2 linked regions of the Caenorhabditis elegans genome follow. The protein of the gene in region 2 interacts with the protein of the main gene of each other region in a pairwise test. Each region holds a gene or a part of one and is shown on either strand. Other genes may lie near its edges.

Region 1 (4,706 bases), 8.4 Mb from region 2:
TTACTATGCGGTAAACAGGTAAATAGTTAACTGAATAGCGTGATCTATTCTACTACTGTTTAGGTATTCATCGCCTATTCCAACACGACAGATGGTTGCCACCTTGACTGGTCACGCAAGGGTCCCTCTGTCCCAGTGAGTTGTATACACCAATCTTCACACTCAAAAAATCAACAAAATGCGCGAATTTGCGCAGTAATTTGATCCGTCTCTTCCGTGCTTCTCCCCCTTTTTATGCTTCCTGGTCAACACGTTTTGATTTTTTTCTTTTCTTTTTTTCCGTCTTTGTCTCATTTCATTTCATCATCATTGCCCTTTCTCCTCCCCCTTCCCTTTTTTGTATAATATTCACTTTTTGTCCTTTGCTTAAAAGTCGTGGGGCAAGAGCAAAAAGTACAATGACCCGGAATAAAGGTATCAAATTGGTGAATAATTCAAAAGGAGCAGAAAAGAGAAAAGGGGAAAAGGTTGGAATTCTGAATAATATGCAAAATGGAAATCCTACATACATATAGAAACATACATCAAAATGTTGAATAAAAGAACAAACAATGTGTCAAGTCATGCGTGTAAATTCTCTCTTTACTGGACTTTTGTAGCTTTAAGGTATTAAGACAGTTGGAGGGGCTCATTGTGCAATACATTTTTGAATGAGATCATTTGGAATGAATTAGGTTTTCTTGTGAAAATCCACCCCCGTGTAATTTTCGAAATTGTTGTTTAGAAAAAAAACCATGAGACTACACTGCACTCAATTAGTATCTCGGTTGTTGTTTGTTCTATCGAAAAGGTTGTGTATTTTTATTATTTTTGATATATTCAAAACAAACTGAGATAAAATCCTTCAAAGTGAGACGAGATACTTATAAACCATTTTTCAGTTATAAAAATGTTCAAAAACTCACTTTTAGACATTGAGCGTGAAATTCCAGATTGGGATTGACCCTGAGGAAGTACCGATCTGATATTTCTGAAAATAAATAATTTTTTGGAATTTAGTCCCCGAAAGAGCTTACCCAATCGACAGCCGGCACAAACTGCCATCGGTGGTTGGTGCTGACGTTCTGAAAAATGAAAGCTCGATTAACTTTACTCTAACCCAAATTACCCGTCGACTTTGATTTGAAGATTACAGGGTTTGTGAGAGGAGGGGAGCTCAAGCTTTATTTAGGGAAAAGTAATAGAAAGAGGGGAGGGCCACGCGCACAAATGGATAATGATACCCAGTTAGGTGTCATGAAGGGGTTCATGGCTTCAAGAAAAAAGTGAAGAAAGGCAGGGAGAGCCTAACAAAACTCATAAAATAGCTCATTTGTGGGGTGTTTGGGGATGTTAGTAGCTGCCAAAACGTTTTTTATTTTATTTTTGCCCTCTTCTGTCAGCACTGTTTTGCCACGTCATTAATTTTATTGAGCTCCGTTTTTATTCGGAAGAATTTAAAGTCGACAGCTTCCTACTGTTTAAAAAATAACATATTAAAATGTTCTAATTTTAAAACTATAACAACTAAAGGTAGTCATTTCAAACTATTGATAATCCCCTTGTTCAACATTTGACATCTTATTTTAGGAAGTAAACTGGCCGTTGACAAACAAGAAGTAACAATCCCAAAAAAAGAAGGAAAGTTTACTTAATATAAGCAATTATAAACACCCCACCACTACAGTAATCATAATCGGAGCGGCGGCAAATAACTACTTATTTGGGAGGAGAGTGTTGCGATTTGAAATTAGAATTGAAAATTGACCTAGAGAAAAACTTTTTTTGAAGAAAATTAGGTTTTAAAAACTTTCGGAATACAAAACTGTGAAAAGTTAATTTTTATTAATATCATATATTTATTTGAAAACTTTCTAGGTTAAGTTTTCGAGGCCAAGAAAATCGAGAAAATCTGGTTGGGTTGTTGAAATCTTCAAACCGGATATGTACATGTGATGTGCATAAGGCGATTATAGCTTAGATCTTCATCGAAGGACCAGATGAAGTTATGCGTTTTTAAGACAACAAGAAGAAGGTGGAAAAGAAAAAAGTAAAAGAGGAGGGGGACAAATGGAATGAAAGAAATAGCGATTTTTGTTTTCTTTTAAACTTTCAGAACTTGATTGAACTAAGAGCTTTTTGATGGAGCCTCCCATTTGTTCCCCACCCCCATCATATCGTTTAATCAACAAAATATATTTTTGTGTGAGACCCCCCGATTCTTTTGTTTGCCAAACTGGTGAATAAGCAAGGTGTCATGGAAAAATGTGTAGCTCAAATGGGTTTTTTCTACCAAGAAATTTAGTAATGTTATATGACTTCAAAATTTTTTGGAAGTGAGCCCATTAAGTTCAGACACCTTTCGGAACTTTGCTCATTTATTCATTGGCTCATCCCTATAAGTAGTATGGGAAAAGAATCGGAAGAGCACCAGAGCTTCAGATAAAAAAGTTGCAAAATTCAGGGGAAAATAGACGGATATTTAAGGCTTAGAAGTGCGAATAATCTTTTTTTCCAGATTTTCTCCCTCTCCTTCTTTCGATTTTGTTATTGCAGGGATTTTGACATTTTAAGATTTATTTTTCAAGATTAAGTGGAGTTTGAGAGAAGGTGTTGTATTCTTAGATCTGTTAGATGTCTTTTCAAATGGAAATTTTATGAATCTAACTTAACTTTTGTTTTGAATTTTTTAAGCTGTGATTTTCAGAAAATTTACAAAAAAATTTTTTCCGGATGTAAATTCTTTGAAATATTTTGGCCCACGCTTAACATTTTCAAATTAAAAAAAAAACACTCACGTTCAACAGGAGAATCAAGGCACAAGTACTTGGTATCCGGTTCGTCTTTCCAAAATGATCCACCAATTTCGAGATCCGATGTTCCTGGAGATGTCAGTGAGAATTGCTCATAACCATTTCGCATACAGATGTTCATGCCGTTGAACAGATATAGAAGTTTGTGATTGATTACTAGATACACACAAACACAGATAGGACAGTTGGAAGTGTCACAAACGAAAAGAGAACCGAGAGCCCTGGGACCCACGGAGAGACAAGAAAGTGGGCGGAGTCATTGAGCGGGCGGACGACGAGCGACTGGTTGGTAGACTCCACCTACTAAGTGAGGAGAACGAAAGAAGTGAGAAGAAAACCAGCCGGATGTGAACACCCAAGTGATAGAATAAGAGTGTGAACATCCTGATTTTGTGGATATGGTAACCTATATTTCTTTTATTTGTAATTAATTGGATTAAAGCAGTTTTGTGTGAACTATTTGGATCATGAAAAAGTTTAAAAAATGACATTTCAAATGCCAAAAAAATTTTTGAGACAGTTAAATGTTACTGGCAAAATATATTCTATGAAATTACTCATCAAGATTGAAGTAATGAGCAAAAAATTATATTTAAACATTTAGAAAATTTCGAAATTTTTGAACAAAATTGTCTGCTCCTGAAAAAATTAAGAATTAAGGAAAGTAATGTGAGAAATTTGACCTCACTTTAGTTTCACAATTAAAGTTTCAAAATTAAATTACAAATCGCTTAGGACGTTTAAATTTCATAACCCTAGATTTTAGAGTTCAAAATCCATCCTATATTTTAGTCAAATTTTCTCGTACATTTTCAAATGTTTTTCTAGTTTCCTTTAGCTTCCATACTAATATCTCCGCGTACTACAGTTTAAGACAATAAACTCACAAAGTGTAGAACATCTTCAGAGTCTATAAATTATTCATGTAACTTTTCCAAAAAATGGCTGCAATACTGAAAAAATGTGGTATGTTTGCTTCGATCTTTAACACAATCATTTTTCTGATATTTAAATCAGAAACTGACTGGTTCTCTCAGAGGTTTAAAGTATTATGTTCATTGATGAATATTTTAAAAAATTGAGAAAAAAAATTGAAATCAGAAAACATGAGAATTCAACAAGATTATCCCTGGAAATATCTTCTTATCCGGATTCAACCTGACCCTCATTCTTCCTTTGGCTGGTGGACGCCATATTTTCCTTATTGAAAACTATCTAGAAACTAGAAATATGTTTTATTTTATTTTATTTTTGAGTCTCTCTTAGAGTTCATATCGATTGAAATATAGACTTGAAGTCCCAATTAGTCTTGCGTCCCTAATAGTATTGCACTTCTTCGTTAGTATTGCAAACTCTTCATTCTTTTAGTCAAAAAAATTGTACGAAAAGTGAATTTGCAGTTTCTATAGAGTTGCACTCTTAAATTAGCCGACACGTGGACATATGTATGTTTTAACTGATTCCCCCACTTCCTGTATACCTCAAAAGGTGTGAAATAACGAATGAAAAGATGAACATGCATGCGAGAGAAGGTGATAACGGACAAGTATTCGAGGATACTGTAGATTCCATCGATTGATAAGGATTTGAAAGATAAGATGATTAAATGGATGCTGGATTAATCCAGAATATTGGAAAATTTTTAGAACCGGGGAGAAATGTGAAAAATTTACAGCCATTTTTCAACTATTGTGGTGTAAGAGAAAACAAACTTTACAAGTTATATTTCATAGTTTATCGTATTCCATTTAAAAAAATATTTTTCCAAAACACGAAGAAATAGAAAGACCGAAATACAAAATTTTGTAATTTAAATTTTTTAATCTCGAAAATTTCTACATTTTGTACGAAAGTAAGTTTTGCAGTTTTTTGAACACTTCGAGAAAAGCTAGAAATCAATTTTCGCTAAAAAAA
Region 2 (4,884 bases):
CAGTTTTTAAGGCCAAAAATGCAGTTTTTCATGGGATTTTTCGAGAAAAATGCTGATTTTAGAGTTTTTTAGAAAATTATTCAGTAAAACGACTACAAACTACATAACCATTTTATGGGCGGAGCCTAAGCCACGCCCTTTTTCGGATTATTTTTTCCATTTTGTGGGCGGAGCCAGAGCCGGAATTTTTTTTGGGAAAAAAAAAAACTTATTTTGGAGCTTTTTAGGCCAAATTTGTGCGGAAAAAAGGCTACAAACTACAAAATGGATCGATTTTTCGTATTTTTGGGCCAAATTTCCGGTTTTCTGGCTATTTTTACGGGAAAAACTGCCAAAAAAAAAGCATTTTCTCACATCAATGTGCTGCTTGAATCGTTCGTGATGAGGTGTGTAGAGTAGGCAATATTCACACATATAAATGTCCAAATTTTCACAGTCAGGCGGAAACGGTGAATAGTACCAGGCGAGAATCTCGTGAGCGCCTATCGTTATTTGTGGTATGTTCTTCACTTTTGTACGCTGCAAAAAAAGTAGGATTTTAGGGGGAAAAATTGATAAAAGTGCAAAAATTGACTTAAAATCTCGATTTTCTGGCTTAAAAATTTGAAAACTTGATTAAAAAGCTTTAAAAAGTGGGTTTGCCATTGAAAAATTCACGTTTTACATTGAAAAAATGTTGGTTGAGGCTATAGACTACAAACTACAACAATTTCAAGCCTCAACCAATTTTTATTTGATTTTTCTATTAAAAAAAGCGGATTTTACACTTTTTTGAGCAGATTTTCCGACTTTTTTCGAATTTTCTCTCAAAAATTCCGTATTTCTTCAGAAAAAAAAAGAATTTAGGTGAATTCGGGTGGATTTTATGGGAAAAATCGATTTAAATGCAAAAAAAGTGACTCAAATCTCGATTTTCTGGCTTAAAAATTTGAAAACTTGATAAAAAGCTTTAAAAAGTGGGTTTGCCATTGAAAAATGCACTTTTTACAGTTAAAAAATGTTGGTTGAGGCTATACACTACAAACTACAAAATCCTAGCCTCAACCAAGTTTTTCAGGAGAAAAAATCGTGTTTTTCGGGTAATAAAGGGTGTTTTTTAATGAAATTTGCCAGATTTTGGCCCATGTTGGAGCGAAAATTGAGAAAATTGTGATTTTCAACCAAATTTTTCGATTTTTTTCGATTTTTCTCTCAAAAGTCCCGTATTTCTTCAAAAAAAAAAAAGAATTTTGGGGGAATTCGGATGGATTTTATGGGAAAAAAATCTATTCAAATGCAAAAATTGACTTAAAATCTCGATTTTTTGACTTAAAAATTTGAAAATTCGATTAAAAAGCTCAAAAAAGTGGGTTTTCCATTGAAAAATTCACTTTTTTTACAGTAAAAAATGTTGGTTGACGCTATACACTACAAACTACAAAATCCTAGCCTCAACCAAGTTTTTAAGGAGAAAAAATCGTGTTTTTCGGGTGAAAAAAGGGTACTTTTTTAATGAAATTTTCCAGATTTTGGCACTTTTTGGAGTGAAATTGAGAAAATTGTGATTTTCAACCAATTTTTTCGATTTTTTTCGAATTTTCTTCAGAAAATCCCGTACTTCTTCATGTTCCCGTTCTAGCCGGGCGGTCGTGGCGTCCAAATCATTAAGATCCGTTTTTAAATGTGAATATTCTTCCAATGTCCTCCGCTGACTTCGTGTTAGGGCTCCAGATGGCTTTATGACGGGCGGTCCGACGACAATTTCCTTGTGTAGATCTTCGACAGGCGCTTTTGTGGGCACTTTGATCACCGGCTCGACTACCACTTCGTTTACGAGAATTCTGAATGAAAATCGATAATTTTTTCGAATTTTGTAGTTTGTAGTCTCTCTAAGTGACTACAAAATACAAAAAATTGTGAAAATTTGAGAAAAATCGGCGAAAAATGAGAGAATTTTGATGCGAAATGGATTTGGTTTCAGATTTTGTTTTTCAAATTTTCACGATTTTTGTAGTTTGTAGTGGGAGAACCTCACCTAGAGGCACTACAAACTACAAAAATATTAGCCTCACCAAAAAATGTTGTAGTTTGTAGTTTTAGCAATTTGTAGTCCCAGCGCCTCAACCATTTTTGAGTGAGGCGCGGAGACTACAAACTACAATATTTTAGCCTCAACCAAAATACGTTTTTGCTCAAAATATTGCAAATTTTAGCTTTTTTTAAACATTTTCAAAAAAACTTATCAGATTTTGCTAAAACTACAAACTACAACATTTTTTGGTGAGGCTAATATTTTTGTAGTTTGTAGTGCCTCTAGGTGAGGTTCTCCCACTACAAACTACAAAAATCGTGAAAATTTGAAAAACAAAATCTGCAAAAAATGAGGAATTTCTAAGCGAAATGCATTTGGTTGAGGCTATCTATTTTTGTAGTTTGTAGTCTTCGAGCCTCAACCATCATTGAGTGAGGCTCACAAACTACAAACTACAACATTTCTCAGCCTCAACCAAAATACGTTTTTGCTCGAAATTTCGCGATTTTCATAGATTTTTGCCCATTTTTCTGCAATTTTCTCCACACGAACTTGTCCAGCGTAATCCATTCATCATTCCTCCGATCCAACTCCTCATAATGCACATAATACATGAGCTCTTTCGCTCCTTGCTCGTGATTCTCAATGGATTTATAGTTATTCGTGCGGACTTCTTGCGGCGGTTTTCGAAAATCAATGTGTATAATTACGGCGACCACCTGGAAATTTGATTTTTAATGGAAAAAAAAGAGATTTTTCTCGAAAATTTTCAGGAAAAATCAACAATAATTTCTGGTTTTTAATCGATTTTTTCACAAAAAAAAAAAAAGCGATTTCCGAACCTTTTTCACAGTATTAATAATGAATTTCTCGACCATATATCGTTTGTTAATTATTGGCATTATTTGTTGTTGCGGGGGTTCACTGTCATTTCCGCCGGGAGCAGCTGCCTCATTTGTTGAGTCGTGTGCTCGTTTCCTCGGCTCTCGTTTGCTCATTTTGTCTGGAAATTTTTGCTGAAATCGGCTGAAAATCGGGTCGAAAAATTCGATATAAAACACCGTAAATTACAGTTAAAAATTTAAAAATTTAAATTTTCAAAAATCAAAAATCGAGTATTTTTAATATAAATTAGAGTCAATTTCGTGTGAAAAAAAAAATTTAAAAAAATAAATACTGTAAGCAGAGAAAAGCGTCGTGGAACTTCGTGATATCATCAAAATGACAGTTTGCATCTTTGGTGCGCGGCCAAGATAGACATGGAATGAGTGATTTGGTAAAAATTTGGGGCTAAAAAATGGGGGGAAAAATCAATAAATAACAAGTATTACGGTAGATACAGAAAAAAAAATGGCAAAAAAAGCAGGAAAAAGTACTGAAAACGTCGATTTTTGGTGGAAAATCTGTTGGGTGAGGCTATAGACTACAAACTACAAAATTTGGCGAGCCTCACCCAATTTTTATCAAATTTTCGCGATTTTTCGCTTAAAAATCACCAAAAAACCGAAGAATTTCAATTTTTAACAGATAAATAGGTACAATTGGGGGAGCGGCGGGGTGAGTTCAAACAGTTTGTGTCGCGTCTTCTGTTGTTCCATGAATCGTTTGCACTCCGATTGTGTGATGGTCCTGCAACAAAACAAATAAATTGACTTAAATTGTAGTTTGTAGTCATTATGCTCGATTTGCGAGAAATCTAAACGGGAAATGAGTGAAAAATTCGAGAAAATCACGTGAAAATGACCTAGAAATCGATGTTTTTGTAGTTTGTAGTCTTTGAGCCTCAACCATCTTTGAGTGAGGCTAAGAGACTACAAACTACAAATTCAGCTCAGCCTCAACCAATTGGTTTTCGCTTGAAATTTTCGCGATTTTCATCGAATTTTTCTCGAATTTTCACTAAAATTTCGCAAAACTGATGAATTTTGGGGTGAGAAAATCCAAAATTTCGAACCTCATCCTCAACTTGTGTCCTAAGCGGACCACTTTCCACGTCACCAACTTGTGTTTCTGCGGTAGCTGCGGGGGTTCTTCGTGTACGTCGGGAGCCTGAAAATATCGAAAATTGTTTAAAAAAAAAGGAAAAAAAAAAGGAAAATTGGAGTTTTCTAAAGCATTTTTTCTCCAAAACAATGGTTGAGGCTCGAAGACTACAAACTACACAAAGTCCTCTGAGCCTCAACCATCGTGGTTGAGGCTATACTGGTTCTGTAGTTTGTAGTCTACAGCCTCAACCAACTTTTTTCTCGCTTTTTCCTTCGAAAAAATCGTTTTTTCTTCAAAAGTTCGGCGTTTCGACTAAAATTCGGCTGAAAATTCCGAATTTTTCAGTTAAAAACTTAAAAATCTCACCCAAAAGCCCATCAGCTGCCAAAAGCCGGTAAGTGAGCACTGTATTTGTGGAGGCGAGCGAGGCGATGACTAGACCGTTAATAATTGATACATACCACTCGAGATCCGGAATTGAGACCACCTGGAACATGGAAATTGTGCAAATTTTGCCGTGTTTTTAGTGAAAAAATCATCGAAAACTCGATTTTTCCACTGAAAAATGCACAAAATCTCACCACAAAATAGACTAAATACGCAGAAACGCAGAGACGGAACGCGAAAAGTGTCACCATATTGAGCAGAGCGATTATACGGAACGATGGGCTCTTCTTGTCGACTCCGTACCTGGAAAAATAGGTGATTTGGCTGAAAATCACGGAAAAATCGCTGAAATTACAAGTTCAACAAGCTCCTCGAGTGCAGGAAAATCGAGTTGAGCTCCATGAGCAATCCGAACACAACGACGCCGAGGAATCGGTTGAAAAACTGCAAAAAAATTGGGTTTTTTGGGGGATTTCAGCAGAAAACCCTCACCATTGTGA

The links.
Region 1: the proteins of mys-2 (region 2) and lim-7 interact in a two-hybrid assay, tested with the Caenorhabditis elegans proteins (one large-scale study listed by BioGRID).

The regions. Positions count from the first base shown.
Region 1 is NC_003279.8:5,714,883-5,719,588, reverse strand, and holds the start of lim-7 (LIM/homeobox protein lim-7), read right to left. Parts: upstream 3,016-4,706; 5' UTR 2,914-3,015; coding exon 2,778-2,913; intron 1,065-2,777; coding exon 1,017-1,064; intron 971-1,016; coding exon 906-970; intron 217-905; exon of another isoform or gene 67-216; intron 1-66. UniProt on the Caenorhabditis elegans protein: Probable DNA-binding transcriptional activator.
Region 2 is NC_003279.8:14,116,883-14,121,766, reverse strand, and holds the start of mys-2 (Histone acetyltransferase), read right to left. Parts: upstream 3,015-4,884; 5' UTR 3,010-3,014; coding exon 2,854-3,009; intron 2,731-2,853; coding exon 2,564-2,730; intron 1,821-2,563; coding exon 1,598-1,820; intron 520-1,597; coding exon 355-519; intron 1-354. Other genes in the region: TLC domain-containing protein fld-1, read right to left, coding at 3,575-3,640, 3,966-4,060, 4,364-4,484, 4,579-4,687, 4,740-4,828, 4,877-4,884.